Linked DNA regions of Oryctolagus cuniculus. The protein of the gene in region 1 interacts with the protein of each later gene in a pairwise test. Links are inferred from orthologs where the notes say so. Each region holds a gene or a part of one and is shown on either strand. Other genes may lie near its edges.

What was found.
Region 2: the proteins of KASH5 (region 1) and GOSR2 interact in binary tests that used the Homo sapiens proteins (3 or more experiments, as listed by UniProt). The two-hybrid records come from large-scale screens. The link is inferred for Oryctolagus cuniculus from reciprocal best matches to the Homo sapiens genes KASH5 and GOSR2.
Region 3: the proteins of KASH5 (region 1) and CDC73 interact in binary tests that used the Homo sapiens proteins (3 or more experiments, as listed by UniProt). The two-hybrid records come from large-scale screens. The link is inferred for Oryctolagus cuniculus from reciprocal best matches to the Homo sapiens genes KASH5 and CDC73.
Region 4: the proteins of KASH5 (region 1) and RNF146 interact in binary tests that used the Homo sapiens proteins (3 or more experiments, as listed by UniProt). The two-hybrid records come from large-scale screens. The link is inferred for Oryctolagus cuniculus from reciprocal best matches to the Homo sapiens genes KASH5 and RNF146.
Region 5: the proteins of KASH5 (region 1) and BAG5 interact in binary tests that used the Homo sapiens proteins (3 or more experiments, as listed by UniProt). The two-hybrid records come from large-scale screens. The link is inferred for Oryctolagus cuniculus from reciprocal best matches to the Homo sapiens genes KASH5 and BAG5.
Region 6: the proteins of KASH5 (region 1) and JAGN1 interact in binary tests that used the Homo sapiens proteins (3 or more experiments, as listed by UniProt). The two-hybrid records come from large-scale screens. The link is inferred for Oryctolagus cuniculus from reciprocal best matches to the Homo sapiens genes KASH5 and JAGN1.
Region 7: the proteins of KASH5 (region 1) and NRIP3 interact in binary tests that used the Homo sapiens proteins (3 or more experiments, as listed by UniProt). The two-hybrid records come from large-scale screens. The link is inferred for Oryctolagus cuniculus from reciprocal best matches to the Homo sapiens genes KASH5 and NRIP3.

Annotation. Positions count from the first base shown.
Region 1 is NC_091449.1:8,012,000-8,016,170, reverse strand, and holds the start of KASH5 (protein KASH5), read left to right. Parts: upstream 1-1,371; 5' UTR 1,372-1,754; intron 1,755-1,797; exon of another isoform or gene 1,798-1,962; intron 1,963-3,703; 5' UTR 3,704-3,795; coding exon 3,796-3,838; intron 3,839-4,171. UniProt on the Homo sapiens protein: As a component of the LINC (LInker of Nucleoskeleton and Cytoskeleton) complex, involved in the connection between the nuclear lamina and the cytoskeleton.
Region 2 is NC_091448.1:17,823,574-17,827,700, reverse strand, and holds the start of GOSR2 (Golgi SNAP receptor complex member 2), read right to left. Parts: upstream 2,801-4,127; 5' UTR 1,535-2,800; coding exon 1,506-1,534; intron 1-1,505. UniProt on the Homo sapiens protein: Involved in transport of proteins from the cis/medial-Golgi to the trans-Golgi network.
Region 3 is NC_091444.1:9,863,496-9,866,995, forward strand, and holds part of CDC73 (parafibromin), read left to right. Parts: intron 1-1,553; coding exon 1,554-1,770; intron 1,771-3,500.
Region 4 is NC_091436.1:42,374,779-42,378,942, reverse strand, and holds the start of RNF146 (E3 ubiquitin-protein ligase RNF146), read left to right. Parts: upstream 1-1,364; 5' UTR 1,365-1,504; intron 1,505-2,589; exon of another isoform or gene 2,590-2,728; intron 2,729-4,164. UniProt on the Homo sapiens protein: E3 ubiquitin-protein ligase that specifically binds poly-ADP-ribosylated (PARsylated) proteins and mediates their ubiquitination and subsequent degradation. May regulate many important biological processes, such as cell survival and DNA damage response.
Region 5 is NC_091451.1:46,388,092-46,392,241, reverse strand, and holds the start of BAG5 (BAG family molecular chaperone regulator 5), read left to right. Parts: upstream 1-1,350; 5' UTR 1,351-1,486; intron 1,487-1,551; coding exon of another isoform or gene 1,552-1,674; exon of another isoform or gene 1,675-1,743; intron 1,744-1,775; exon of another isoform or gene 1,776-2,052; intron 2,053-2,345; exon of another isoform or gene 2,346-2,487; intron 2,488-2,767; 5' UTR 2,768-2,792; coding exon 2,793-4,136; 3' UTR 4,137-4,150. UniProt on the Homo sapiens protein: Co-chaperone for HSP/HSP70 proteins. It functions as a nucleotide-exchange factor promoting the release of ADP from HSP70, thereby activating HSP70-mediated protein refolding.
Region 6 is NC_091441.1:116,853,426-116,857,504, reverse strand, and holds the start of JAGN1 (protein jagunal homolog 1), read left to right. Parts: upstream 1-1,279; 5' UTR 1,280-1,421; coding exon 1,422-1,510; intron 1,511-3,023; coding exon 3,024-3,486; 3' UTR 3,487-4,079. UniProt on the Homo sapiens protein: Endoplasmic reticulum transmembrane protein involved in vesicle-mediated transport, which is required for neutrophil function.
Region 7 is NC_091432.1:57,211,001-57,215,097, reverse strand, and holds the start of NRIP3 (nuclear receptor-interacting protein 3), read right to left. Parts: upstream 2,801-4,097; 5' UTR 2,702-2,800; coding exon 2,528-2,701; intron 1-2,527.

The DNA.
Region 1 (4,171 bases):
CCTGGAAGAGGGGCAACCAGGACAGAATCCGGCGCCCCGACCGGGACTAGAACCTGGTGTGCCGGCGCCGCAAGGCGGAGGATTAGCCCAGTGAGCTGCGGTGCCAGCCTAATAAATAAATCTTAAAACATAATTTTTAAAATAAAATAAAATCTGTAAGTATATAAAAAGGTACAGAAAAAGACAGAGAGAGCGAGCTTCCCCAATGCCCACAATAGCCAGGGCTGGGCCAGGCTGGAGCCAGGAACCAGGAACTCACTGCAGGTACCCCACTTGGTTGGCGTGGACTCAGCTACCCGCCGCCTCCCAGGGTGCGTGTTAGCAGGAAGACGGATCAGCGGCACAGTAGCTGGGACTCAAGGCAGGCACTCCGATAGGGGGTGAGGGTGTCCCAAGGAGTGACTGTGCAAATGCCCACCCCAGAAGAACGGACTATTGATACAGCTAAGGGGGCCACCACCATGCCAGTCTGCAGTAAGAAAAAACACATGCTTATTGTAAACATTATTTGTCCCAATTTATAGAAGCCGAGGTTCAGAGAGGTGAAGTCATTTGCCAAGACCACACAGCAATGGCTGGAGGTTTATCTGATCCCTTGTCTCGTGCACTTCACCACTCCTCATACCACCTGCCAAACAGACTCCTCCCAGCCTTGTAACAAGCCCTTTCTATTCATCAAAATAATAACCACCAGTTAACACAGAACTCCCAGGAGCTCTGGATTGCCACCCAAGGTGCCATCAACGCAACTCCATTCTGGGAGGAAAATTGAGTGGCAGGTGGGTCACTCTGCAAAGGTCATAGATAGGAAGCATTGGAGCCAAAATTCAGATCCAGGAATGCCGGACTGCGTCACTCCACATGCATGCATTCATTCATTCAACAATTTTTATTTTATTTGAAAGGCAGAGGGAGAGACGGAGACGTCGTCCATCCGCTGGTTCACTCCCCAAATGGCAGCAACTGCCTGGCCGAGCCAGGCTGAACCTGAAGCCTGGAACTGCGTCGGGTCTCCCACATTCCCAGGGGCATCAGCAGGGAGCTGGATCTGAAGCGGCGGCGCAGCCAGGACTGCAGTAGGCGCTTGGATAGGGGTGCCCGTGTCCCAGGCTGCGGCTCAACCTGCTGTGCCAGCACCGCCATTTTTCTTTGTAAGGTGGAGGGCGCCAGGGGTGCAGAGCGAGGCCTCTCTGAAGCGACAGCTGGGCGAAACGATGGTCGGATGAGCGACGGCGTGCAGAAGAGGGGTTCCTCCCTGCTCTGGACTGGCCGAGAGGCTGCACAGGTGGGATATCCTTTGCCTCCAGGCTCCTTCTTGGGAGTAACTAGTCTCTCCAGCAAGAAAAGTCAAGAGTATGCTTAACTCCATCCTCTCCAAAAAGGAATGAATGAGACGGTTAGGAAAAGAAGCCTTCAGGGACCTACAGAAACACAGCGCGACTTGAGCCACGAAAGGGCGCGGAGTGAGAGGGTTGGGGTGAGATGGGCCAGCCATCATTGTGACGGCGCCGACGCCAGGCCGCCTGGCACGAACAGAGGGCAGAAAGGGCACAGCTTGGCGGCTCAGACCGACTTTTCCCTGCTCGGCCCTATTTCATCAACGCTCGGAGCCAACCAGGAGGGACCCGGCGTGCCCGCCCTACAGCCACCAGCGCTAAACCCTGCAGCGGGCCAAGCCACCCTGCCAGCGCGCATGCGCTCGCTCCACAGGGCCGCCGGGGCAGCCCTGCGCATGCGCGACCTCGCCCGCACAGGTAACTGCCCGGAGAGGCGCGCGCCTCCCCCCTGCGCGCATGCGCCGCGGGCGGGGGCGGGGCGGGGCGGGGCCTGGGCGCGCGCGAGCGCCCCCTGGGCGCAGCCCGTGTGCTCGCTGTTCTGTGGCGGGCGACGCCGGCGCACCCCTTTCCCGCGGTTCGTGCTGGTGACCGTCGGCGGCGCCCTGAGGCTGGAAGAGGACTCCAGGTGCGCCCTGCTTGTGTGGAGATGCCCACAGTAGCCCTGCGGAGCCCCTCCCCGAACCCGCCAGTACCCGGACCTTCCCCGTCCCACTTGAAATCCTGACCAAGACCCACTAGGACATCTTGCGAGGGACGCCTAACAGCCTGTCCGAATCTTCTAGAAGTTCCGTCAGACTTGGCCCTCCGAACCTGTCAGAGCCTCCCTGTCAAAATCCTGTTAGAGGCCGCCGTCGCCCCGGAGTCCTCTCAAGCGCACCCCAAATTCTAGCCCGCGAAGCTGCTCCCAGCTCACAGGGCCACACCTCCCCACCTTTGCACCCCCAACTCCCTGACCCACCCCTACCCCCGTGCTGTGAGCCAAGCCCCTGGCAGAGGCTCCCCCTCCGCGCCACCTTTTCCAGAACCTTCTTAAACCGCAGAGGAGGCTGGGAAGGGGAGGGGAAAGACAGGGGGCCTCTCTCCAGCCGGAATCCGGGCGGTGGGCACGGGGCTCGGGGGCTTTGTCCAGGAAGGGTCCTGGAGTTTGCACGGTAAGGGCGGAGGTGGCAGCCAGAGCTGGGAGGCCCTCGAGGGCCCGTGGCCTCCGGGAAGCCTCCCCTGACCCCGAGCGGTAAGCAGAAGGCCTGGGCTGTGTGTCCGGGCCTCGGAGGACCGTGGGTCACCCCGAGTGGAAACCTGGGGGAGCAGCTGGCTTGCACGTAGTGACGCTGAGGGACCCCGAGGCTCGGCTGAGAAAGGTCAAGGGCACGGGGTCCCCCGGAGCCGTGAAGTCACCGTGTCCCAGAGCGGAGGTCGGTCTGGTCCTGGGCTCAGGCTCCTGACTCGGTGCAGACCCTGGGAGGCGGGGGCGGGGGGGGGGGGCACCCAGCGTCAGCCCTGCCGGCCCTGGCCGTCGCAGGCATCTGGGAGCTGAACCAGCGCGTGGGAGGGGGCTCTCCCTTTTGGCCCCACCCCCAGCTCCAGCACACACCCACACTATCGACTTTAGAGGAGGAAAAACGAGTTGAGGAGATGGAATAACCACTCCGTGCGGCTCCAGCCAAGGGGCTACCAGCCAGTGCAGGGGTCCAGGGAGCCCCGGAAGGGCTGAGGCAGGGGAAAGAGGGCCCAAAGGCGCGGGAGAGGCCGGCGGTGCCACACAAGCCAGCACGTGCGTGGCAAGGTGTCAGCTGCACAGGGCCATGTGGGAACCCAGACGCAGCACCTGGCTCAGCCTGGGGTGGAGACCGGACACGGTTTCCAGAGGGCACAAGGGAGCCAACGCAGGAAGGCGAGGCGGGCGTCCCAGGCAGAGGCTCGGCCGTGAGGACAGCTGGGCCGGGAGGGGGGTAAGCAGGGCCTTGTCACCAAGTCCAGCCAGGCTCCGGCCCAGGGTGCTGACGGGCGTGGAAGGCGTCGGTTCGGGGAGGAACGGGTCAGCTCTGGGGCTCTGTGGGGCCGGATTGGTTGGCTGGGGGATGGGGGATGAGTCCAGGCAGGGCAGAGGTGTGGAGAGAAGGGATAGGACTGGGGACTTGGCCGCACAGGGGTCTCCCCAAGGGGAGGCTGGGACCCCCACCCGCGAGGCCCCTTTGATCTCTGCCGCCCACGTGTTGCCAGCCCACACCACCAGTTCATAAAACAGGTTGGAGCTGGAGCCGTGGGTAAAGGCGGGGGTGGCAAACAGGTTCTGAGGACGTGGAGTGGCCCGCGGCGCAGGTGCCTGGTGTCGCTCTGAGAAGGCTTTGCCCTGCTTGTCCCTCCAGGAGCGCTCAGCTGCTAGGCCCCATCCTCTCCCTCCCGGCGAGGGAGGGGGCTGCTAGCTTCTCCAGCAGCCGTGGAGTAGCCAGGGAGGCCCATGGACCTGCCGGAGAGCCGGGCTGGTGGCCCTGCAGCACAAAGTAGGTGGCTGGGCCCCTTTCCGCGCCAGGGGAGCTGGGGGTGAAGGGGCACCAGGCCGAGACTCGGATTTGGGAGCGGTGGCTTGGGGTACCTGAACCTCCACACAGATGTAGGGTGGGAGGAAGGGAGCAGTGATGGACCGAGCGCCTCCCGTGAGCCCGCCCACCGGTCTGTATCCCTGGGGTGTGTGCACTGGGGAGGCCAGCTGTCGCCTGTGCCTGTGCTGAGCCCTGGCCAAGAATGCCCTCCCGGTCCCCGCAGCTCCCCGCCTCCCACGCCCATGGCCACCCTGCTGCCACCGCCAAACCTTAGGGGAAACAGCCGTCTGTCAG
Region 2 (4,127 bases), on another chromosome or scaffold:
GGAGCCTGGCTGCATGTTTCACTTCATTCCCAGGCCCCGTGTTTACAACAGAACTGGAGCATCAATGTGAATGTTCTCAAAATATAAACTTCAGCAAATAAAAATCCAGGGCTAAAAGACACCTGCACTTCCATGTTCATTTCAGCATTATTCTCACTAACCCAAGTGTCCATCAGCAGAGGAATGGACGGCAACAACACGTAGTCTACACATACAATGGAACAGTGTTCAAACGCAAAAAGAAAGGAGGGGCAGCATTTGGTGCAGCTGTGAAGACCCTGCCTGGGATGCCCGCACCCAATTCCAGCTGCCCTGGGAGGCAGCAGCGGTGGCTCAAGTAGTGAGGTCCTTGCCAGGCCTGTAGAAGATGTGGACTGAGCTCCTGGCCCGTGGCTGCCGACTGGCCCAGGCCCCACTGCGCGGACACTGGGGAATGAACTAGTGAAAGGGAGCGCTCTCTCTTCACCCCCTCTTCCAAATAAGTAAAAACAAATGAAATCTTGGGGAAAAATTTAAGTGAAATTCTGATACATGCTACAAGATGGATGAATTCTGAAAACATCACGGTAGGTAGGTGAAATATGTCAGACACCAAAGGACAAACACCGTGCAATCCTTATAGGTGAGGTGTCTGGAATAGGAAATTCATAGAAACAGAAAGCAGAACTGAATGAGGGGCTCCGGAAGAGAGGAACAGGGGGTCACTGCCTAACAGGCAGAGTTTCTGTTCAGGATCATGAAAACCTTCTAGAAATGGATAATGGTGATGTGAGTTGTGAGCACACTTAACGTCACTGAAAAATGGCTAAACTGGTTAAGCTTTATGCTACATTTTAACCACAATAAGAAATAGATCATAAGCCCCCCCCCCCAAAAAAAAACCCAGAATAAGTATGGCCCTTATTACCAACCCCAACTACCTATCTCGGCAAGTCCCCCCAAAATGCAGAACAATGTGAATACAGCACACTACCAACGAATTTAAGTTATGGGAAGCTAAGTCAAAATTCGATTTCCTTAAAGGTAACCCGTAACCAGAAACGACAAACAAGCAATAACAACTACTTTACAGCAATTTCTTAACTAAAAATGCGGTCTTTAGTTCAGTCACACCGGAATAAAAATGCTTTTTTTTCTATGAGCCCTGAACACAGGTGACCCTAACCCAAACAGAACTCCTACGGGCAGGGGTCGTGACCCCCTCACTGTCTCCCCACGAGCGCCACGGTGGCAAGTGTTAAAACCTGCAGGTGCGACTTTCCCTTCACTCAGCCTACCCAGCAGGTAGTCAGAGCTTGCAGACCCCAGGAGCCGTCCACCCTCACGGCTCCCGGTTCCAGGAGGGACCCCGAGTTCGCGGCTGACTTGGGCATCCCGCCCGGGACTGCGCTTCCGAGTCACGCTCGGCGGACTCCATGTCCACCGCGGCGGAAGCCCAAGCCCGCAGCCTCGGGGGCTGGCCTCTCCTGGCCCCACACCCGCCCGCCCCCCGACGCGGCCCTCACTTGTGCGTTTGCTGGTATAGCGGCTCCATGTCGCCGGCCTCAGCGCTGGCTTCCTGGGAACACGTCCTCACAGCCCCCTTCCGGCTTCCGGCTTCCGGCTTCCGGCCGCAGGACCTCCCTGCACAGCCGGCCAGGGCGCCCGCGGGCACGCCTTGTTGGCGGTGGTTGCGAGATTAGAGAAGGGGAACAAGAAACGAGATCGGCAGAGTCGGGCCAAGTGTAGCGAGAGGTTCGGCCTCACGCAACGGGCGAGGACGCGTAGGCTTTTGCGGAAGGTTGGCTTCAGAATCGAGTCAGGCATTGGGAAGGACAGCCGCGGGGTACCCAGGGAGGCCCTCGGGTCCAGGTGGAAGGCGAGCCGGCGGATGCCCGTGCCTAAGGGCGGGATCCGGGGCGCGAGGGCTCCTGCTTGCCTTCGCTTTAAACCGTGTAGCTGTGGGCCCGCAGGTTTCACTCGTCACTGGCTTCCGCGGCGCAAGCTCCTCTTTCTCAAATTTGCCCTCTCCTTCGCCCTTCTCCTCCTGTCCTGTTTACGCATGCAGTAGACCCGCATTGAGTGAGTGATTATTGTGTGTCGTGTGTGATGCGGGGTGATGCCACATGGAGACTGAGGAGAAAATATGTATACAGACAAACGCCCTACAGGGGGAGAACCCCAGGGAGGACGAGCTGGGCGCGGGCCGCCTCCAGGAGATTCAGGAAAGACGGTGCCCTTGCGACTTGGGAGAATTCGGACAGACCTTGAGCGTTTCCATCCGTCCAGGCTTATCTGGAGGTCCTCCCAAGGGAGGGGACGTTCCTCTTCCTTTGACAAGTTGATGCATCTATTTTCCTGTATCCTGGATCCCACCCGGTTTTGTGTCCCAAGAGACTGCCCAGTCATGTACATTGTTCCCCTAACGTTAATTTTCCACTTACTTCAATATTTAATGAGCACATACGATGTACCATGGACAGATACTGAGGATACATAGCAAGAAGTCCCTCAAATCTCCTATATATGGGGCCGGCGTCATGACATAGCAGGTTGAGTCTCCAATGCCCAGCTGCTCCACTTCCGATCCAGCTCTCTGCTATGGCCTGGGTAAGCAGCTGAGGATGGCCCAAGTCCTTGGGTCCCTGCACCCATGTGGGAGACCTGGAAGAAGCTCTGGGCTCCTGACTCTGGCCTGGCCCAGCCCCTGCCCAGCCCTGTGGCTATTTGGGGAGTGAACCAGCAGATGGAAAATTCCGCCCCCCCCCCCCTCTCTGCTTCTTCCTTTCAAATAAAGAAAAAAAAAAAAATAAATGTTTTAAAAAAATCGGCCAGCGCCGCGGCTCAATAGGCTAATCCTCCACCTTGCGGCGCCGGCACACCGGGTTCTAGTCCCGGTCGGGGCACCGGATTCTGTCCCGGTTGCCCCTCTTCCAGGCCAGCCCTCTGCTGTGGCCCGGGAGTGCAGTGGAGGATGGCCCGGGTGCTTGGGCCCTGCACCCCATGGGAGACCAGGAAAAGCACCTGGCTCCTGGCTCCTGCCATCGGATCAGCGCGGTGCGGCGGCCATTGGAGGGTGAACCAACGGCAAAGGAAGACCTTTCTCTCTGTCTCTCTCTCTCACTGTCCACTCTGCCTGTCAAAAAAAAAAAAAAAAAAAAAAAAAAAAAATCTGTCTCACAGTCTGTTGCCAGGGCTAATCATACCCTCACACTGTGTTAACAAACAAGTAGGGATGTTACAAAGCACCATTTCCCTAGGGAAGAGCAAGACAACTTCATGGACTAAATAGTATGTGAATAGGGCCCTCAAAAAAAAATACAATTTTTTTTAAAGATTTATTTATTTGAAAGAGTCAGAGAAGGAGAGGCAGAGAAAGAGAGGTCTGCCACTCCCTGGTTCACTCCCCCGGTGACCACATCAGCCAGAGCTGTGCTGATCCAAAGCCAGGAGCCAGGAGCTTCTTCCGGGTCTCCCACACAAGTGCAGGGGCCCAAGCACCTGGGCCATCTTCCACTGCTTTCCCAGGCCATAGCAGAGAAGAGAGCAGGATCAGAAGTGGAGCAACCGGGACTCGAACCGGCACCCATATGGGATGCAGGCACTGCAGGCAGCAGCTGTGCCCACTGTGCCCCGGCACCAGCCCCTAAGTCAGTTTTGGCAGTGTCTTGCATATACTAACCACTCTGTAAGCACACCCATTCCTTGTATTGGCCTGGGGGAGGGAAGGGGGAGGCGTTTGTGACTGAGGGAATAGCCGGTCTAAGCAAACAGGTGATACTAACCTGGGTCGCTGTGGGTGGGTTGAGGGAATGGGAGGGCAGTAACAGTATTGGTTGAGAAAAACGTCTGACTTAGATGTTTTTTATTCTAGAGGTAGCTAACAGTGACCAGAGGTTGGATTGATTTTTTAAATGTCTAAGCCGTGCCTTGCTTTCTGTGGGCCTCACAGTTCGTCTGTGATTGAGATCTCTGCCTGCCTCTCAGTGTCAGGGCTTCCCGTGTGCGGAGGCTGACGTCTCCTTAAGGCCTTCCTCCTCTCCATTCTCCTGGAGTCGTTTCTCGGCTCAGCAGAGGCCCCTGGCCTCGTCATCCTGCATTCCGTGAGCTCGGGCTGATTGCAGGCACAATGCAAAGGCGGGAGTACA
Region 3 (3,500 bases), on another chromosome or scaffold:
GGGGAATAATATGCTTTCTAATGCCCTGAGAATATGAGGCTTTTAATCTGGATGGTGGGAACAGGTACTGTTCTTCACTCTGTGTAAGCACTGGGCATTGTTCTCTTTAATTCCATTGGATGATTGATTCTTTACCCAGCTTTAAATGATTTCGTTATCTTCATGTACTAATTGGTATTCTACTGGAATACTCCAAGGAATCTGTGTAGCTCTCTTCTCATGTGTTTTGTCCTGTGAATTCTCGCCACCTTGGTCTTGCTGTCGCCCCAGCTGCATTCCCTCAAATCGGGAGTTCTCTGAGGTCTTTGTGGGCTCTCTTCTTAATGCCCTATCTCGGAAGCCACCAAGGGCTCACCTTGTTGGTTTCTCATTTGTCAGGAAATCACTGTTCTACACTGTTTGATAATCTAATATCCTTTAAACCTGGTGTCTTGTCATTTTCACTGGTAATTTAAGACAGGAAGGTTAATCCTGTCACTCTGTTTTAGTGTGGCTGGAAATAAAGTCCAGTGATACCAAGTCCAGTGCAGGCTTGATTATAGTTTAGAAGAGCATTTGAACTTGACTCTAGGTGCTTTAGATTTTAGGGGAATGTTGCACAGTGTCACACAAAATGAGTCAGATACCACCATACCCATATTGATCATCTGCTATAAAGTATCTTCATACCTAATCTGAATAAAATTAGTTTACTTTATAATACTGCTGTATTTAAACCTGCAGGAATTTCTGTCCTTTTTCCAGATTTTGTGTAAACATATTTCAAGATTTTCATCTTGTGGCTAAAGTAATATTTTTGTCTACTCTTAATAAGGTACTCAAACACTTTTTAATTCTTTTTATCTTATTATATAAAAAGACACTTTGCTTAAGATTCATCTTACAAAATCTGTACTTTAAGTATTAAGTCGCTTTTTATACATAGTTCTGAAAATATAGCCTGTCTCTCTTTGCTGTTTTGGCTATTTGAAAATCAGATGCAGGGAAGATAAAGTGTTCAAACTATGGTTTCTTCCAGAGTTTAAAAGGGGTATGTGTTTCTGTGGTATATAAAAGCCTTTGTCACCTATGTATATGTTGTACCCTGTGACATACGGTTTTGAAACCTTGAAATAAATTTCAAGAAAACCTATAATTTTGAAGTCTTTATATAATGAATTTCATACTCCTCTTCTGGGACCCTCTTAACAACTGGCCTCGATATGTATGTTTATTTTCTGTGAATAGATGTGGGTTAACTAACAAAGTCTCAAAAAATACAAAGAAAACACTCATGTTAATGAGTTACTGCTCTTTTGGAGGGAAATGATAAATATAAAGACATTTGTTGCATTGTTTCTTCTGGAATTTATTAATTTACTCACAGTAGTATATCTGCATGAACCTTCTTTATGTGTTAAAATCTTGTAAGAGTACAAAATATGTCATTTTTATAGAAAGAAGGCTTTAATTGTTGTTACTTAAAGTGTTTTTACTAGAAAATTGTAACAATGTATTTGTGATGTGCTCAAGGAATTCTTGCTTTGAAAATTTAAAAAGGAATTTGATTTTAGGTCTTTATCTGAAGCCATGTCAGTGGAAAAAATTGCTGCAATCAAAGCCAAAATTATGGCTAAGAAAAGATCTACTATCAAAACTGATCTAGATGATGACATCACTGCCCTCAAACAGAGGAGTTTTGTAGACGCCGAGGTAGATGTGACTCGAGATATTGTCAGCAGGGAGAGAGTGTGGAGGACACGAACAACGATTTTACAGAGCACGGGAAAGGTAATAGAGGTTACTCATTTCTTAGAGTGCCATGTCTGTGGTTAGTCTGTGATTGGTTATGGAATTGCTTAACATTTTTTATTAGAAGGAAGTTTGTAGTTTTCACTCTTCGAAAGAACAATAATAATACAGATTTCCAAGTGGTCATATTTGTCCTTGCATTCCTGAACGTGGCTGTCAGTCATTCAAGAAGTTGATAAAATCTGAATCAGAGCGCAAGCCTCTCCACATACCATTTGTAAATTAGAGTGACCCAGTTTTTTTTTGTTGTTGTTGTTGTTGTTGAAACCTCATGTCTTGGGCCGGCGCCGCAGCTCACTAGGCTAATTATCCTCCGTCTTGCGGCGCCGGCACACCGGGTTCTAGTCCCGGTCGGGGCGCCGGATTCTGTCCCAGTTGCCCCTCTTCCAGGCCAGCTCTCTGCTGTGGCCAGGGAGTGCAGTGGAGGATGGCCCAGGTGCTTGGCCTCTGCACCCCATGAGAGACCAGGAGAAGCACCTGGCTCCTGCCTTTGGATCAGTGCAGCGCGCTGGTCACAGCAAACCGGCTGCGAGGGTGAACCAACGGCAAAGGAAGACCTTTCTCTCTGTCTCTCTCTCTCTCACTGTCCACTCTGCCTGTCCAAAAAAAAAAAAAAGAAACCTCATAACCTCATGTCTGGAGGGTTTTATGGCAAGCTCTTTGGTCATCAGAGCTGATATCATGAATTTTTTCTACATAAAGTAGAGAATCAGTCAGCAGACATTTATTGAGTATATTTTATACTTTATTGTGGATGTAGGACTTTCTATTTTTTTGCTTCTTCACTATGGGAGCTATTTTGTTGTTTTTGCTCCAAGACTGTGGGGTTTTCCTCTCTCTCTTTGTCCGCTGCCTCTTTTCTTCCTTGGTTCCCTCCCACTTCCTCCCCTTTGATTTTTCCTTCCTCCTCCTTCCTTCCCTTTCACTATTACAAATAATGCTTTAAAAGACATTCTTACACATATATAACTTTGTTCAGTTATGTGACTAGTAAAGGATTAAAATGAATTTCTGGTTAAAGGAGATGTGCAGTTTAAGAAAATTTTTTTATTTGAAAGGCAGAGTTTTAGGGAGTGACACAGAGAGACTGATTGATTGATCTCCAATCCCTGGTTTATTACCCAAATGGCCACAGCAGCCAGGGCTGTGCCAGGCGAAAGTCAGGAGCTTCATCCGGGTCTCCCATGTAGGCCACAGGGGCACAAACTCTTTCCCAGGTGCATTGACAGGGAGCCAGCTTGAAGTGGAGCAGCTGGAATTCACACCAGTGCTCATATGGGATGTTGCTGTTTCAGGCGGAGGCTTACCCCACTGCTCCACAGCACTGGCCCTGAGATGTACACTTCAGACCTTGAAAGATAACATGAATTTCTGCAAAGGAAACATTGATTCTGTCTCATGTGTATATTTTCATCAGTCTTTCCTGTTCTACACCTCAGTTTTCTGTTAAACGTTCATTATCCTCTGATGTACGGTTGTTAAATGATCTAATTAAGAATATTTGAAGAATCATGGCAATTAGTGATGAGCTTCACTGTTCATCACTTCAGCATTCTTCTAGGCAGATTGATTTTGATTGTAGAATTTTGAGATTTTAGTCTGAAATTTACTCTGACATTGTAAGAATAAAGCTACTAGAGAAGAGTGTTTAAAAAATGATTTATTTTTGGAGGGAAGGGTAGCCCACATTGTAGCTTAGTAGGCTAAGC
Region 4 (4,164 bases), on another chromosome or scaffold:
ATCCATTTCCTAATTAATAATATGAAGAACTGGAGTAGCTGAACTCTATTGTAGCCTCCCACTGAAGTTAAATCCCAGATGGGTGCCTGTTTCTGTAAAATGAAATAATAATAGTAGCTACCTCATGGTTTACTGTCAGGATTAAATGAGGTTATATATGTAAAGCACATTAACTACCAATTGTTAGTTAATATTAGAATTCTCTCTTCAAGCAGAAATCTTAAAGTACATTATCTGTTCATGGGTTGTGTAGGATAGAGGAGTAAAACCGGGTGGCTAAGAAGGTAGAGAATTAAAGTTGGAGGACATTGACTTCATTAGTATTCTATACTAGTTCGTCGAAATGGCATTAAAAGAAAAGTGATTTTTTTCCATGTACCTTTTGAATGCCCCTCACCCATGATTAGGATCCCAAAATAAACTATTTCAGGGGAATAACGGAAAATGTACAGCTTTCTATATGTATCAAGACATGGAAGATTTCCAATCTTGCACCCACTAATCTCAAAAATGCAACATCACTGAAAGACATTGCAGTGGAAGGTTGAAATATATACTCAAGATAAAGGACACGTTTTCCCCTCCTGTTCGTTCGTTTTACCACATATCAAGCTCATTTAGTCAGTTTCGGAAAAACGCAATGTAGGTGCTAAAACGGAGAACACGGCCAGTGTTTTGAAGTTTAAAACCACATGCTCGCATTCATTTTGCCCGTTTAATTTCAGATTCTTGCGAAGATTAATTTCTTCCTCTGGCGTCTTAGCTCGATTCTATTAAGAAGCATTGGTCCAAAACATGGTTATAATCCATTTTTTCCCCTCTGCATAAACTGCCCAGCCATTCAGAAGGTTTTATTTCTTGAGAGAACAAGCGGTACTTTCAGAAGGGGTCTTCAACCCAGAGCTCAGCTAGGCGCCCCAGGGCTTCTCTGGGGTCTTAAATTGGATTTTTGAATAGCACCACCTGCTGGTAGTGCCCGCGTCTTACTTCCCCTACGCAATATCTCTCCCTTGAGGATCTGCACGCTTTCAGGGCTCCTTGCCCTTAATACGAGTAAGGCAAAACCTAAGAGATCAGGAGCATCCAAGCAGCTGGACGGCGGGTTCCCGCAAGTGGAGAGGGCGGGTACCGGCGGCGCGCTCGAGGGCGGGGCCTGGGCCCGCGGCGGGAGGCTCGGGCGCGAGCTCTGCGAGCGCGAGGCGCGACTTCCGGCCCGCGCGGCCCCGCCCCCGCGACGCGCCGGGCGGTCACGTGACGGTCGCGCGCGTCCCCGGCCGCTGCGGGCTCCGAGGCCGAAGAGAAAAGACGGCGAGGTGGCCGGGGCTGTGGCCGGAGAGGAGGGAGTCGAGGCGCCGCCCTCGCGGAGGTCACGGCGAAGGCCCGCTGCTCCGGGATCCAAACTCGGGGGGAAGAGGCACGACTCGCGGTGCCTCCGGCAGGCTCGACGCGCCCCGGTCGGCCTGCTGTCGGGCCCGGAGAGGGGCGGCGGCGGGGTCAGGGCCCGGTACGTAGATGGACGCCCTTGGCCGGCTCGGTAGCTGCTGTGGCCGGGAGGCGGGAGGGGCCCTGCGGCCTCCCTGCCGCCCCCGCTCAGGCTGTTGTCGCAGGCACGAAGACTGTGACGGCCTCTGCATGGCCGCTTGGCCGCAGCCCCTGCGGTGGCGATGCCGGAGCTGGCCTGGGCCGAGGTGCGAGAGGCAGGGCAGCGGCCATTACTGCGCAGCCTCTTCGACCGGGTCCGCGTCGCCGTCTTTGGTGGCCGCCGGGTCCTTCTCCTCTTCCTCGGCCGTGGGGTCAGGCCTCTGCCGAGGGACCTGCTGGCCTCAAGGTGCAGGGACCCAGATGCTTTAGGGGTTACCTGTTCCCCGTGTGGAGTCAGAGACTTTGGGCCTGGGGTCCGATGCAAGCTAGGACATGGAGTGCCCGCGTTTTGTGTGATCCCGAGCGCCTTGGGCTGCTGTTTTTTCTCTCTCTCTCTCCCCACCACTGCTGCTTCTGCTTAGCGTCTGGGTCTTGCCTCATTGAAGGGAGCAGCTGCCCCACCTTGTCCTGGCGAGACTCAGCGCTGCACATTCACGGTTGTCTGGACGGCTGTGGACTCTTGGGGACCGCGAGAGAGCTCCGAGAGCCTCGGAGCCTGCCCGACCTCCCTGCGGCTTCTCGGCGGAGGTGGTTGCTTTGTTCTGGTTGCCGGGTGCGGAGGTCCCTCCCTGCTGTCCAGTTGGTCCGAGAGTGCTGGTCTTTCTTGCCTTCTGGTCGCTATTTTGTTTTCTGAGAGGCTGCAGCATTGCTTTTTGAGGGTGTGGAGAGGGCACCGTCCTTTCCCGCAGGGAGTAACTCCAGGATTAAGTTTATACACACACATGTTGGCAACTAGATTCGCTTTTTTTTTTTTTTTTTTTCATGTTCATCATTTCCGTCCCTGTTTTTATATTTCTCTTGTCCGAGTGCCATTTTAGTGAGCCCTTCTTTCTCAAGTTTGGGACGTCTTGTTTCCTGTTGGTTTATATTGAAACTGTGGAACTGAGGGGAGAAGAAAACCAAGAAAGGATAGAAAACGCTTTGTTCTTCCTGTGATTGACATTTCAGGTGCCAGGGACCCCGCAACTCCCCAACCCCCACCGGACCCCGTACGTGTAGTGTACACTTTTAAGTGGGAAGTGGATGTATAACGTTGGCACTGAAAGCAGTATATAATTACAGATTTTGGAAGACCTTGGACATTTTAGTAAGTGCATCTATATTTAGACTTTTGAATAAGCATGTTAGGACACACACAGAAAATGACCCCCACAGATAGGATTTGTGATGTTGAGTTTGTTGTTTTTTTGACTAGCAGATATTTGTGTTCAGAGTCTGGGTGCTGTGAAAACGCATGAAAATAGTTCAAGTAAACCTCATTTTAAAGAGAAAACTTGAAGAGTGAATAGCACTCTAAAAATAGATTTTGATCATGTTTGTTTTGGCCTTGTGTATCTTAAAGTGGACCATTTTAAGTCCTATTTTTGGTTTATAGTTTAAGTGTCAAATGAGCTAATGTAATGTAAGTTGGGACAAAATGAAAATAATGGCGCTTAAACATTTGAAGATTTTTTTGTGATTTGTCTGTTAAGAGGCTGACAAGGAAACTTTCTCCAAATAGCCAGTCATCAGGCAAGATGAAAAAAAAGGTGGTATTTTTTCTTTAGGAGTTAGGTCAACTGGCAAAATGTTTTTTTTTAGTTTCTGCCAACTTGAGTTGTCAGACGAAAGGAGGCAGATTTTTTTTTTAAAGGATCAAGAATAATTTCTTGACTTAGATATTATTGATTTTTTCCAAAACATTGATCTGGTTGAAGAATATAGTTTTATGTGTTAAGGATATACTGGTATTAAATACCTGACACACTGTCAGTTGAGAATTTGAGTGTGTTTTGTTGTTGTTTGGTTGTTTTTCTCTAGTACTAGTAATAGAAAGTACTGAGCCTTTGGCATTTTCTTGCCTAGTTTGATTGCCTTGTGACTTGAGGAATCTGAATTTTTAAACATGCTGGATTAGTTTGACTCTACAAACCTACTTGTTAAAACTAGGCTACAGCCACCTGTGTTTGCTTATAAATTCTTATGTAGTACTCACGGCCTATATTATCTTTGCGTTAATAAAAATAAAACCTATTGCTAAATGCCTGTTAATTAAAGATTTAAAATTTGGAATTACAGAATAGAGGAATCTGGTAAAAGACATGAGAATCATGACTTGACAAGGTCACACAGATAATTAGCAAGAGTCTTTGTTATTTGCAAAGTGGTTGCTTGCCATGATACTTACATGTGTTAATTAAAGTCAGTTTTTGTTCACATTTTATTTAAATGAAATGCAAAACCTACTTTCTCTAGGGAGGATTTAAAGTTGTAATGCTTATGTGTGAAGATTGTGAAGTCAGTAAATAGATTGCCATACAGTAGTATTTTTAAAAGGAGTGATACATAATAAGAGAAATAATTCTTTAAAATAAATTGTTGGACCTCATTTGTTTCAAATAAGTTTAAATTTTTCCAATTATGACCTTTAGGACTTGATTTTTTTTTTTTTTAATAGAGTTAGTGAGAGAGAGACAGAGAGAAAGGTCTTCCTTCCATTGGTTCACTCCCCAAATGGAAGCCATGGCCTGGCGCGCTGCGCCT
Region 5 (4,150 bases), on another chromosome or scaffold:
GAGAGATGTGGACACATAGGAGAGACGTACTCACCCTGGAAGGCGCCCTCGGGAACACCCGACCTGGGGCGCCCGCAGCAGGCCCAGCACACACGACTGCCCTGGGCAACAGCGGCTCCCCAGCTCCCTCCAACACCCGGCAGCACGGACACTCGGACCCCGAGCACACGGCGGGGGTCACAATGCTGGACGCGGCCAAGCGGCTCCGGCTCTGCCCTGCCTCTTCCGGAGAGCACCGGACCACACGGCCCCAGACGGCCCTGGACCACACGGCCCTGCACGCCACTGGACCACGCGGGCCCTGCACGCCACTGGACCACGCGGGCCCGCACAGGACACGACCACACGACCCGCACAGGACCAGACCACACAGCCCCAGACGGCCCCGGACCACACAGCCCCAGACGGCCCTGGACCACACGGCCCTGCACAGCACCGGACCACACGGCCCTGCACGCCACTGGATCACACGGGCCCGCACAGCCCCTGACCACACGGCCCGCACAGCCCCTGACCACACGGGCCCGCACAGCCCCTGACCACACGGCCCGCACAGACCGGACCACACAGCCCCGCACAGCCCCTGACCACACGGCCCGCACAGACCGGACCACACAGCCCCGCACAGCCCCTGACCACACGGCCCGCACAGACCGGACCACACAGCCCCACACAGCCCCTGACCACACGGCCCGCACAGACCGGACCACACGGCCCGCACAGCCCCTGACCACACGGCCCTGCACGCCACTGGACCACACAGTCCCAGACGGCCCCGGACCACACGGCCCTGCACAGCCCCTGACCACACGGCCCGCACAGGACCTGACCACACAGCCCGCACAGCCCCTGACCACACGGCCCGCACAGGACCTGACCACACGGCCCGCACAGCCCCTGCGCGGGTCCGGTTCTCCAGCAAGCAGCCTGCGGGACCTGTTGCGGCGCTGGCACCGGCGCCCAAACCGGCCGCGGAAACGCCGCACCCCGCGCAACCCTCTCGTTGCTACACGGCTGCCCCCGCCAGCGCCTTTCAGAGGCTGAATCCTCCCCAGACACCCGCGAGCCTGGTGGGTGTGCGCGCGTGGGAGCGGAAGTCGGGGCGGCGGCCGCACGAAAACCCGCAGGCCCAAAGTGTCGCAACGGCCAGCGGGCTCCCTCTCGTCGCTCCGTAACCACTGCCGGGCCCGGCTCCGCGCCGGCCTCACCGCCCCTCTCGTCGCTCCGTAACCACTGCCGGGCCCGGCTCCGCGCCGGCCTCACCGCCCCTCTCGTCGCTCCGTAACCACTGCCCGGCCCGGCTCCGCGCCGGCCTCACCGCCCCTCTCCTCGCTCCGTAACCACTGCCCGGCCCGGCTCCGCGCCGGCCTCACCGCCCCGGCCCGCCAGCGCCTGAGGACAAGCACGGCCGGCCGCACGCCGCGGCCGCAGCCACTCGCCGAGCCCCTCCGGGCGCTTCTGGAACTCGCCCTCGGGCAAACACCAGGTCCGTGCACCGCGGCGGTGGGCGCCAGACCGGGGGCGGCCCGGCAGCCCCGGCAGCGCGCTTACCCCGCTCGGCGCTGCTTCCCTGCGCTCCGCACCGCGCTCCGGGGCCCGCCGCCCGCCGCCGCCCGCGAAGGCCCGGCAGAGGGGCGGGACGAGGGTCCGCGGCGCCCGCCGCACCGCCGCCATGGGGCCGCGCCCACCTTGCTCCCGCGGCACCCGGCGGCGTTCGCGACGGCGAGCGGGGCTGCCTTACGGCAGGGTCGCAAAGCCGGCGGGCGCGCCGCGGAGGGGCCGACCGCGCGCTTTTCCCGCGGTGACACGGCTCGCGGAGGGGGTCTGTGGGGACGGGGCGGCGCGGAGGAGGCCTGCCGGGACCGGGCAGCGCGGGCGAACGCCGGCGACAGTTCCCCGATCCCTGTCGTCCCAGAGGCCCGGGGCGCGGCTCGAGGTGAGGCGCGGGCGCGGAGCCGTCTTTTCCCAGGGCTTGGGGGTGGTCGGCCCCGGACGGGGGCGCCGCGGGCTCTGCGGAAGTCGTGGGCGGCAGCGGAGCGCGTGATGGCGCGGGTGAGTGGTGCGGGGGCGCCGGCGATCGCGTCTGCTCTCTCCGCGCGCGCGCCGGCGCGGGGCTCCGCCGGGCCACCCTGCTCCCCCCCACGGGCTCCCACGCGGCCGCGCCTGGCCGGGTTCCCCGCCGGGCTGGGCCCCGCTCCGCGCCCCTCCCGCCCGTCCTCGCGGGGCGCCCGGGCCTCGGCCTCCCCCGCGCGCCCATTGTGAGGTCAGGGCCGGCGGCGAGCCGGGGGCCCGGGGCCGAGACGCCCGGAGCGGCCGCTGCGGCCAGTAGCTGCCGCCGCCGCCGGCCCCTTCACCGGCCGCCCCGTCCAGACCGAGCCGGGGGGCTGAAGGGGATGCCGTTAGGGGCCCGGCCCCGCCGCCGCACCCGGTGAAGGGCTGATCTTCCACCTCGCCGCCGCGCCTCCGGGGAGCCGGGACCTCCGCCGGGTAAAGTGCGAGAGGGAGGGAGGCCCGGGCCCGCGGCGGCGCCCGCGGGCCCTCGTGGGAGGCAGTGCAGGCAGAGTGGGCGCTGTCCCGGGCGGGGAGCCCCGGCGGAGCTTGGGGCCCCGTCGCGGGGCCTGTCCCGCATTCTGCTGGCCCGGGCGTGCCCTGCGGGCTGTTCTGTGCCGCGGGCCGGGCGGCCCCTCGGGCTGGCCCTGGGCCTGCCGGCCGGGGTCCGCGGACCTGCCGGCGGCCGCTCTGAATGAGCTCTCTTGTCGCCCCGCAGCGCTCGTGAGCCCAGGCAGCGGAGCATGGACATGGGAAACCAGCACCCGGCCATCAGCAGGCTGCAGGAGATCCAGCGGGAGGTGAAGGCCGTGGAGCCGCAGGTGCTGGGCTTCAGCGGGCTGGCGGACGACAAGGCCTACCGGAGGCTGGAGCGCATGCTCACGCGGCAGCTGTTCGAGATCGACTCCGTGGACACCGAGGGCAGGGGGGACGTCCAGCAGGCGCGGAAGCGGGCGGCGCAGGAGACGGAGCGGCTGCTCAAGGAGCTGGAGCAGAACGCCAGCCACCCGCGCCGCCTGGAGATCCGGAACCTGTTCCGCGAGGCGCAGGCGCTGGCGCAGGACGAGATCGCGCCCTTGCACAGCGGGGGAGGCTGCGCCGCGGACGAGGTGGAGGAGCGCCTGCAGGACATCGTGCTGCGGCTGACGCACGTCAAGACCGGCGGCAAGGTCTCGCTGCGCAAAGCCCGCTACCGCGCGCTGAGCAGGGTGTGCGCCGTGCAGGAGATCCTGGAGGACTGCCTGCGGAAGCAGCCGTCGCTGCCGCTGTCCGAGGACGCGCACCCGTGCGTCGCCAGGATCAACGCCGTGATGTGCACGGTGAGCAAGGCCCGCGGCACGGTGGTCGCGCTGCTGATGGGCGTGTGCGCCGACGAGACCTGCCGGCACCTGTCCTGCGTGCTCTCGGGGCTGCTGGCCGACCTGGACGCGCTGGACGTGGCCGGGCACCCGGACATCAGGAACTACCGGAGGGAGGTGGTGGAGGACATCCACAAGCTGCTCAAGTACCTGGAGCTGGAGGAGGAGGCGGACACGACCCGCGCCTTCGACCTGGGCCAGAACCAGTCCATCCTCGAGATAGAGAAGGTGCGCGCCAGGACGCGGGAGGTCAGGGCCGAGCTTCTGCGCGCGCAGAGCCCGGCCGAGCTGTACCTGAGCTCCAAGACGGAGCTGCAGGGCCTCATCGGGCAGCTGGACGAGGTGAGCCTGGAGAAGAACCCCTGCATCCGGGAGGCGCGCAGACGGGCGGTGATCGAGGTGCAGACGCTGGTCACCTACGTGGACCTGAAGGAGGCGCTGGAGAAGAGGAAGCAGAGCGTGGGCGCCGAGCACCCGTCCCACCAGGCCGTCTGGAGCGTCCTGGGGAACCTGTCGGAGATCCAGGGGGAGGTCCTGTCCTTCGACGGCAATCGCAGCGACAAGAACTACATCCGGCTGGAGGAGCTGCTCACCAAGCAGCTGCTGGCCCTGGACGCGGTCGACCCGCAGGGCGAGGAGAAGTGCAAGGCCGCGCGCAAGCAGGCCGTGAAGCTGGCGCAAAACATCCTCAGCTACCTGGACCTCAAGTCGGACGAGTGGGAGTACTGACCGCGAGTGGGCAC
Region 6 (4,079 bases), on another chromosome or scaffold:
TGATGAAATCCAAGCGCTGACAGGGACAGACAGCAGAAGCCAGAGCCAGACAGGATGCTTCCCCGGGCTCAGTTGGAAGTCAGCAAACGTTTCCTGAACGCTGACAGCATGCCAGGCACTGTGCCTGCGCGGGGACAGACAGATCTGGCCCCTGACCTTTGAGGAATTCACATTCCAGGGAGGGAGGCAACGTAGGAGCAAGATTCTCAACACCTGCGAGTGGAGACGGACTCCACCTGTGCTCAATGGAGCGGGAAAGAAGCCTGCATTTGGCTACCTAAGAGATGCCTCATATGCTAAACTTCAGCACAAGGAGCGAAGTCAAATGACCTACAATACATAGGGGAAGTACATTGCAACTAATATTCCAGTGAAAAAATGTATCTGTCTTTCCCCTCTCATTCTCCCCTCCCTCTCTATCTATGTGAGGGTACTTCAAGAAGTTTCTGGACAATGAAATATAATTTTAAAGATTTTATTTATTTATTTGAGAGGAAGAGACAGAGAGGTCTCCCATCCGCTGGTTCAGTCCCCAAATGGCCACAACAGCTGGGGCTGAGCCGTTCCAAAGCCAAGAGCCAGGAGCTTCTTCCAGGTCTCCTATGTGGGTGCAGGGGCCCAAGGACTTGGGTCATCTGCTGCTGCTTTCCCAGGGCATAGCAGAGAGTGGGATCTGAAGTGGAGCAGCTGGGATTCGAACTGGTGCCCATATGGGTTGTGGGGACTGCAGGCAACAGCTTTATCCACTATGCCACAGCGCCGGCCCCTATACTACTTAATTAAAATTTTTATTCACTTTAAGGGGAGACAGAAAGAGATTCCATCCACTGGTAGTCTCCAAACGCCTCCAACAGCTGGGGCTGTATCAGGCGGAAGTCAGGGGCCAGGAAATCAATCTGGGTCTCCCACGTGGGTGCAGGGGCCCAAGCACTTGGACCATCTTCCACTGCTTTGCTAGGCCATAGCAGAGAGCGGGATCGGAAGTGGAGCAGCCGGGACTCGAACCGGCGTCTACATGCGATGTCCGCACTGCAGGCGGCAAGCCACAGCTCCAGCCCCTGCAATGATTACGTGGTCTCTGGAGGGAAACTTCTGAGACGGGAAGATGTGTGCTGGGAAAGGCATAAAGCCTTCCAGGAATCCAGCTCCCGGGCTCCGTGATGGGAATAGGGGCATCGGACTCACTTCCTGCGGCTCTGCTCGCGGGGCGGGGCACTACCCAGGGTTCCCGGCTCCTCCGTGGGGCCGGGGCCATAGAGACGGTCCTCCCAGCGTGGGCAGAGAGGCCGGAAGTGCCCGGCACTTCCGCCCGGCCGTTGTGTGGCTGCACCGAGGCGGCGACAGAGGGGCTGGCGGAACTGTTGGCGCGGGTGTCGCGGCGGCGGGCTGTGCTGTGGGCTCCAGGGTGCTGAGCAGGGACCATGGCGTCTCGGGCGGGCCCGCGAGCGGCCGGCACGGACGGCAGCGACTTTCAGCACCGGGAGCGCGTCGCCACGCACTACCAGATGAGGTACGGGTGAGGCGCGCGACGCCGGCGCCCCCGGGGTTGACAGCCCGGCCAGCCCCCGCCCGCCGGCCCGCCCGGTCCCCTCCTTCCGCGGCGGCCTCGGTCGCGTCCCCAGCCAACCCCGCGGAGCCCAGCGGCCCCCGCGAGCGCCGCCCCGTGGTCCGGCCCGAGTGGCGAGGGGGCTCGGGCCCCGCGTGGGCTCCGCGGTCGGAGCCACGGCTGCCGTCTCGCGTGTGTGACCTTGAGAACTTGGTTTTGTCGCCGAGCCTCAGGTTCCTCGCCCGTAGCGGGAGCAGATGGCCCGCGTGTGCGGTTTCGGTGGGGAGCTGGCGAGTGTTGGGGTGGTGGGCACCTGCCACATGGACTGTGGCCGTGGACCGGGCGGCGCGCGGGCGAGGCGTCTCCGTGTTCGTGCGGTCGCTGGCTTTCGCGTGGCGTGGAGGTGGGCGCCGGGGTGCGGTGGACCTGGCCGTCAGCTCTGGTCCTCGAAGTCCAAGAAGCCGGCGTTTTTCTCTGCTTCCCTACGGCATTTTAAAATAAAAATAGAGCGTAGATCTTTAAGGCCCCTGAGCTTTCTAGAATGTTCCTCGCAAGTGTTTTCCTAGACCGGCTTTTCTGAACGCCGAGTTCACGCCCGTCCTTAGGCCCCGCTGTGAGCGCGCGTTAGAACCCAGGCAGGGGTCTTCACTGTTGGGTCTCAGCGGCGGCTTTGCCCCTGGGGGTGCGGGCAGCTGCCTCTGCGGCCTGGAGGAATTGGGAGAATGGGGGAAACGTGTGCCTCCCCTGGCTGGAACGTCCACGCTGGCTGCAGACGTGTGGCAGGCCGGGCCGATGTCCTGGCCGGTGCCTCCTTCCAGCCTGCGGTGTGGCTCGGCCTTGCCCCCGCGCCTTCCTAGTCTCCGCAGCGGGCCCTGGCTCCGCTCAGCTGCTGACTTCCTGGAGCACCAGTGCGGACGGCCGGTACTTGAATGTCCGTGCCCGGGCGTGCAGGGCCCGTCTCCAGCATCCTTAGAGCCTGGCTGAAATGCCTCCCTCTGGACAGCCTTGTCCTACTCCTCGTCCCACACAGAGCTGTTCTGCCTTCCTGTGAGCCCATAGCTCATGGACCATATGAGAACTTTCTCACTTCACTTTTTTTTACATTTTTAAGATTTATTTATTTGAAAGGCAGAGTTAAGAGAGAGAGAGGTCTTCCATCCGCTGGTTCACTTCCCAAATGGCCGCAACGGCCCGAGCTGCGCCAATATGAAGCCAGGAGCTTCTTCCAGGTCTCCCACATGTGTGCAGGGGCCCAAGCCTTGGGCCATCTTCTGCTTTCCCAGGCCATAGCAGAGAGCTGGATCGGAAGTGGAGCAGCCGGGACTCGAACCAGCGCCCATGTGGGCTCCACAGCACCGGCCCCCGGGGTCTGTGTCTTACTCCCATTTCTATCATTATCCAGTACAGTCGCCTAGCGTGCAGGTGGTGGTCAGAAAAACGTGAGTGAAAGGTGCTCTCCCTGTGCTCTGCCCCACAGTGTGACCCTCAAGTATGAAATCAAGAAGCTGATCTACGTGCATCTGGTCTTGTGGCTGCTGCTGGTGGCCAAGATGAGCGTGGGACACCTGCGGCTGCTGTCGCATGACCAGGTGGCCATGCCCTACCAGTGGGAGTACCCGTATCTGCTGAGCGTCGTGCCCTCCCTCCTGGGCCTCCTCTCCTTCCCGCGCAACAACATCAGCTACCTCGTGCTCTCCATGATCAGCATGGGGCTCTTCTCCATCGCTCCCCTCATCTATGGCAGCATGGAGATGTTCCCCGCTGCCCAGCAGCTCTACCGCCACGGCAAAGCCTACCGCTTCCTCTTCGGGTTTTCTGCTGTCTCCGTCATGTACCTGGTGCTGGTGCTGGCGGTGCAAGTGCATGCGTGGCAGTTATACTACAGCAAGAAGCTCCTGGACGCCTGGTTCACCAGCACGCAAGAGAAGAAGCGTAAATGAAGCCTCCCCAGTGGACTCTGTGGGCGAGGCCTGGGCCTCCCTGGTGGACTCTGTGGGCGTGGCCTGGGCCTCCCTGGTGGACTCTCTGTGGGTGAGGCCTAGGCCTCCCTGGTGGACTCTCTGTGGGCGAGGCCTGGGCCTCCCTGGTGGACTGCTCTGTAGGCGTGGCCTGGGCCTCCCTGGTGGACTCTGTGGGCGTGGCCTGGGGTCCCTGATGGACTCTCTGTGGGTGAGGCCTGGGGTCCCTGATGGACTCTCTGTGGGTGAGGGGGGTCAAGGACCTGGTCTTAAGTGTCTTCTAGGAATTTGGCAGCTGTGGTGTTGGCACCTGAAGCCAGCGTGGTCCACATTCTGGAAAGCCGCTCCGGCTGACACCTGCTGAGGGGCCAAAGTAAATGTATTCCTGGTTGACTGGAGCTGAGTGACTGACAGCAGAGAAACCAATCTAAGCTGGGTCAGGTTATCCTTAGAAGACTGCGCCTTGCCTGCCCTTGTTCGTTCCCCCCGCCTCCATCCATCTCCCCATAGCCATCAAGACTGAGGGAGATGAAGCATAAATCCAGTTCCACTTCGGTCTAGGTCATGGGGCAGGA
Region 7 (4,097 bases), on another chromosome or scaffold:
TTACTCATATTTCTGGTTAAGTTCTTAATCTTATAGAATAAACATAAACATAAGATGAAAGGATAAACACAGTAAGAGAGGCAGCTATACAAAATAAGGTTAATTTCTACACCAAACTTTGTGCAGTCAACTCTATACACACGGGAATAGGGCAAAAGTGCTTTACAATGGCCAAGAGAACACGACTACCTTGGATTGCTTACCAGTGCCCCCTGCCCATCTAAAAAGGACCGACGGGCTGGCATCAAGCAGGGAACATGGTAGAAACAGAATGGCATGAGGCAGTTGATTCAGAAAACGCAACAGTATAATTCAAATACAGGCTACTAGTATGAGGAAAAACAACCCAGGGCTTCATATTGGCTCAGCCCCCAGGAGTCAATTAAAAGTAACTTATTCTCCCCCCATCCCCTCTCTTTTCTTGTCCCCCTTCTATTGAGACTGTACTATAAACTATTTGGAGTTACTCAATTTTAGCATCCTCTAAATTTCCCTTCTAGTGAGACAAAATGGATTCAACACTACTCTATCATACCAGATGGATTTACAAAGTGAAGTGCTAAGAATGTACTTCCAAGGTCATTTCTAAGATTGCACTGAGGCTGCAATATCCGCTGTAAGAGAGCTTAAAGCATACTACGTCACGCCAGCATTCGTACTTCTCCCAGCCCTACCTCCGTCTGCCTTGGTTTCTGTGACCTATTCTGGCTCAGTGAGAGAGGGAAATCAACTCCATGCCAATGAGGTACAGAAAGTGCAAACCAGGGTTCAGTCTTTCACAATCAACTACTGTGTGTCACTCTCATGGTGATAGCCCACATCTGGAAGATGCTTCCTTTCTGAAGACTGCTCCTGCGCTCCATGCTATCAGAGCCTGGTGGCTCAGCTGAGACAGACTGGGATCATAAAAGCAGATGGAATTCTTACACAGCATAAACTCCCCTGAAGTATCTAAGCAGAAGGATAGAGAAGTAGCTCTTCAGGGCCAGGGAACACCTAAACAACCCAGGACAACCAAATGCCCCTATCTTAAATCTAGCATGAAAAAAGTTCACATTTTAATTATTCTCCTAATACTTCCCTCTTTATTGATTCCTGAGACCCCGGGAAATAGGATTATTTTGGACAGAAGGGAAGACTTGATCTGATTTTCCAAGTGACTTTGGACTGCTTTAAAGTGAGAGAAAAGAAAGTCATCTCTTTTGTAGGAATACATTTCAATTATTCATCACTGTGGGGTAGCATGAATCAGATCTACTATACTATGACTTATGCAGAAAAAAGTAATTTTTTAAAATCATAATAAGATAACTGGAGTAGTTATCTCCCCCACATGTGTAAGTAATGTCAGGGAGGGGAAATCTGATATTAGTATCTATGCCATTGGAACTATCAAAAAAAAAAAATGGACATCCTGATGACAGGATGGCAATTTCAGTGAACCATATCCAAATCAAACATTCCAAAAGCTCTAAATAAAAAATACTAGAAAAAGTGTGCAGAGCATTTATTTCAATTGTAAAAGACATGTAATTAATGTTTCATATATTGCTGCCCAGATGAATAAAGCGACTGTGAAATTCAAGAAAACAATCAAAGCACAAGGAAACTCCAGATCTAACTACAATGCTGGACTTCAATTTGGCCCAGCTCCACTTCAGCGACTAGAAAGATGCGAGTCGGATACAGGTCTTTATTCTGGTAGCCCTTGGGCATCTCTCCTGAGCATTCCATAGCAGAGGACAGTATGGTCTTCGAATCCAGGCCCTCCAAGTCCTGGGTTCTTCCTAATTAAAGCTAAGAACCATTATGCTAGAAAAAACAAGACTGCACCAGCCCCAGCGCCAACGCCATCTCCTAGCTGGTCAGGCAGACGGAGTAGCCCGGTTTCCTCCCCTGTCCCTGCTCCTTGTGGGTGGGGCTGGCGGAGGAGAGAAGAGGGTGTTGAAGAGGTGTTTGGAAGTCAGGAAACCTCCTCATCCGTCCTTTCCTTTCTCCTCGCTTAGAATGGAAGGTCAAGGGCAGACAGACCAAAACCAGACAGTAGATTTTGCATAGGGAGACAACAGACCCAACAAACACGCACTCATCTGGAGGTGAAGCCTCCCTTTCCACTTCTCTCCCGTCCTCAGACGCCCATAACGAGTCGCCTCTGTCTGGGTGAGGGGAGCTGCCTCTGTCTGCGGCGAGGAACCCAATTAGGCGCTAAGAATAAATCGGAAGAAAGGAGAGCCGAGGGCAAGAGGGCAGGGTAAGGTCTCCTTTCCAACCCGAGCGAGACAGGCAGGGCAGAGGCGGTGCGGGAGCTAGGGTAAGCCAAGAAAACCACGACGAGATCCGAGGGAGACCCAAGCAGGGGGTGCGGGACGCAGAGGAGCCGTGACCGGGCGACACAGGGGCGGCGGGCAGCGGCGGGCCGGGCCGCTGACTCAGTGAAAGCGGCAAGGCTCGGACCCGGGAGGCCGCACGGCGCGCGGCGGACGGCAGCAGCGGGGGTCCCGAGGCGGGCGCGGCCGCGGGGGCTCACCGTGTCCTTAGACGAGCCCAGCTTCTTCAGGCCGTCCAGCGGCAGCAGGTCGGCCGAGTCCTTGTGGATGAACTGCACCGCCTGCTTCATCCGGCGCTGCTGTCGCAGCGGCGCCGCCTCCCGCATGTCGGTCTCCTTGCGGCCACCCTCGGTGAGGAGCCCTGAGTAAAACATCGTTGAGGCGCCGCGGCCCCGGGGCCCCGGCGCGCTCGGATCCCCGCGCCCTCAGCCTCGAGCTCCTTCCAGCGCAGGCGAGAGCCGCGCGCCGCGCTTTTTGTAGCCGAGCGTGACGTCACGGGGAGCAGCCAGTGCGCGCGCCGGAGGGGCGGAGCTGGCACAGCGCCCCCGCCCGGCGCGCCGCCTTGTCCGGAGTCCAGCGTCCGCTTGTCGGGTCCCGAGCCGGCCGGCCCCGGAGTCAAGCGAGCTAGGAGGGGACGGCTCAGGCTGCCTGAGGTGCTAAGCGCCACCCAACCGCCCCTTTCCGGGTGGGTGCCCCGCATCACCTGAACGGGGTCAGGCTGTGGGACCCAAGGTGCGAGCAGCCTCTCCCACGCTAACCGCCCCCCCCCCGGGGTCCCCCGCTCACCTGTCCACACTGTGACCGACCCGGGGACCACGGACAGTTGGGCCATGCTGGCGCCCCGCCGCGCGCGCCGCGGCTCTCCTCGGCCTTCGCGTCCCCTCCCGGGCTCCCGGCGCCCTCTGCCCAGGGCACGGGAAGGCCAGCGGCAAGCTCCGAAGGTGGGAGGGCTCGGATTTCTTCAACTTCAGATCGGTCCCCTCCCACTGGACCACGTGACTGGAGAGAGGGCAGCTCGTGTGGACTGGCCAGAGCCGGCTTTCTCGGGACCCTCCTCTTCCTGACACCCTGTGCCCTCAGCAGGACCCCTGCGAGGCCCAGTGTTGGGGAGGGTCCCCGCCTCCACGGAACGCACGCGATCGGAGCCCTGCACCTCCCGGGAGCATCCACAGAGAAGCACTAGTGTTTCTCAGCCAGCGCTAGGGCGTACCTTCCGGAGGGTCTGCCACCGGTCTCCCCGGCATCCTTGTGGGAGCATTTGGACCCCCGTATTTCTTCGTGAATCGATCTCATACTTTCAAGCCATTCTTATGGGTTCTGACCTCATCGTTGTGACTGGATACAAGCCAGGGTACGTTTCCACCTGGGGGACACATGGCAAGTACCCTCTCCACCCCGCGTCACAGGAGCAGCTTGAGCCAGAGAGATCTGCACTCCGAGGAGGACCAGAGGACACGCTCGGAGCCTCTGCTCTCTGCTCTCTGCTCTCTGGTGACAGCTCAGGAAGGAACTGTTATCATTATCATGTCTACAGGTGAATGGCTGAGACCTGCTCGAGGGCTTCCTGAGGACTCCCTGGCTGGGCTTGGCTCCTGTTCTCTGCCAGAGTCATCTCAAGCAACCACCTCCAAAGGCTTTGGTGGCCACGGTGAGAAAGACCCGCGTTCTTGCTTGATGTGGCCTCACCTACCCCTCCTCTCTGTACTTAGCCTCATGAGCCTTCTAGTTCCCTGGGCGAGCCGTGGTCCCTCTGGCCAAATGGCCTGCCCT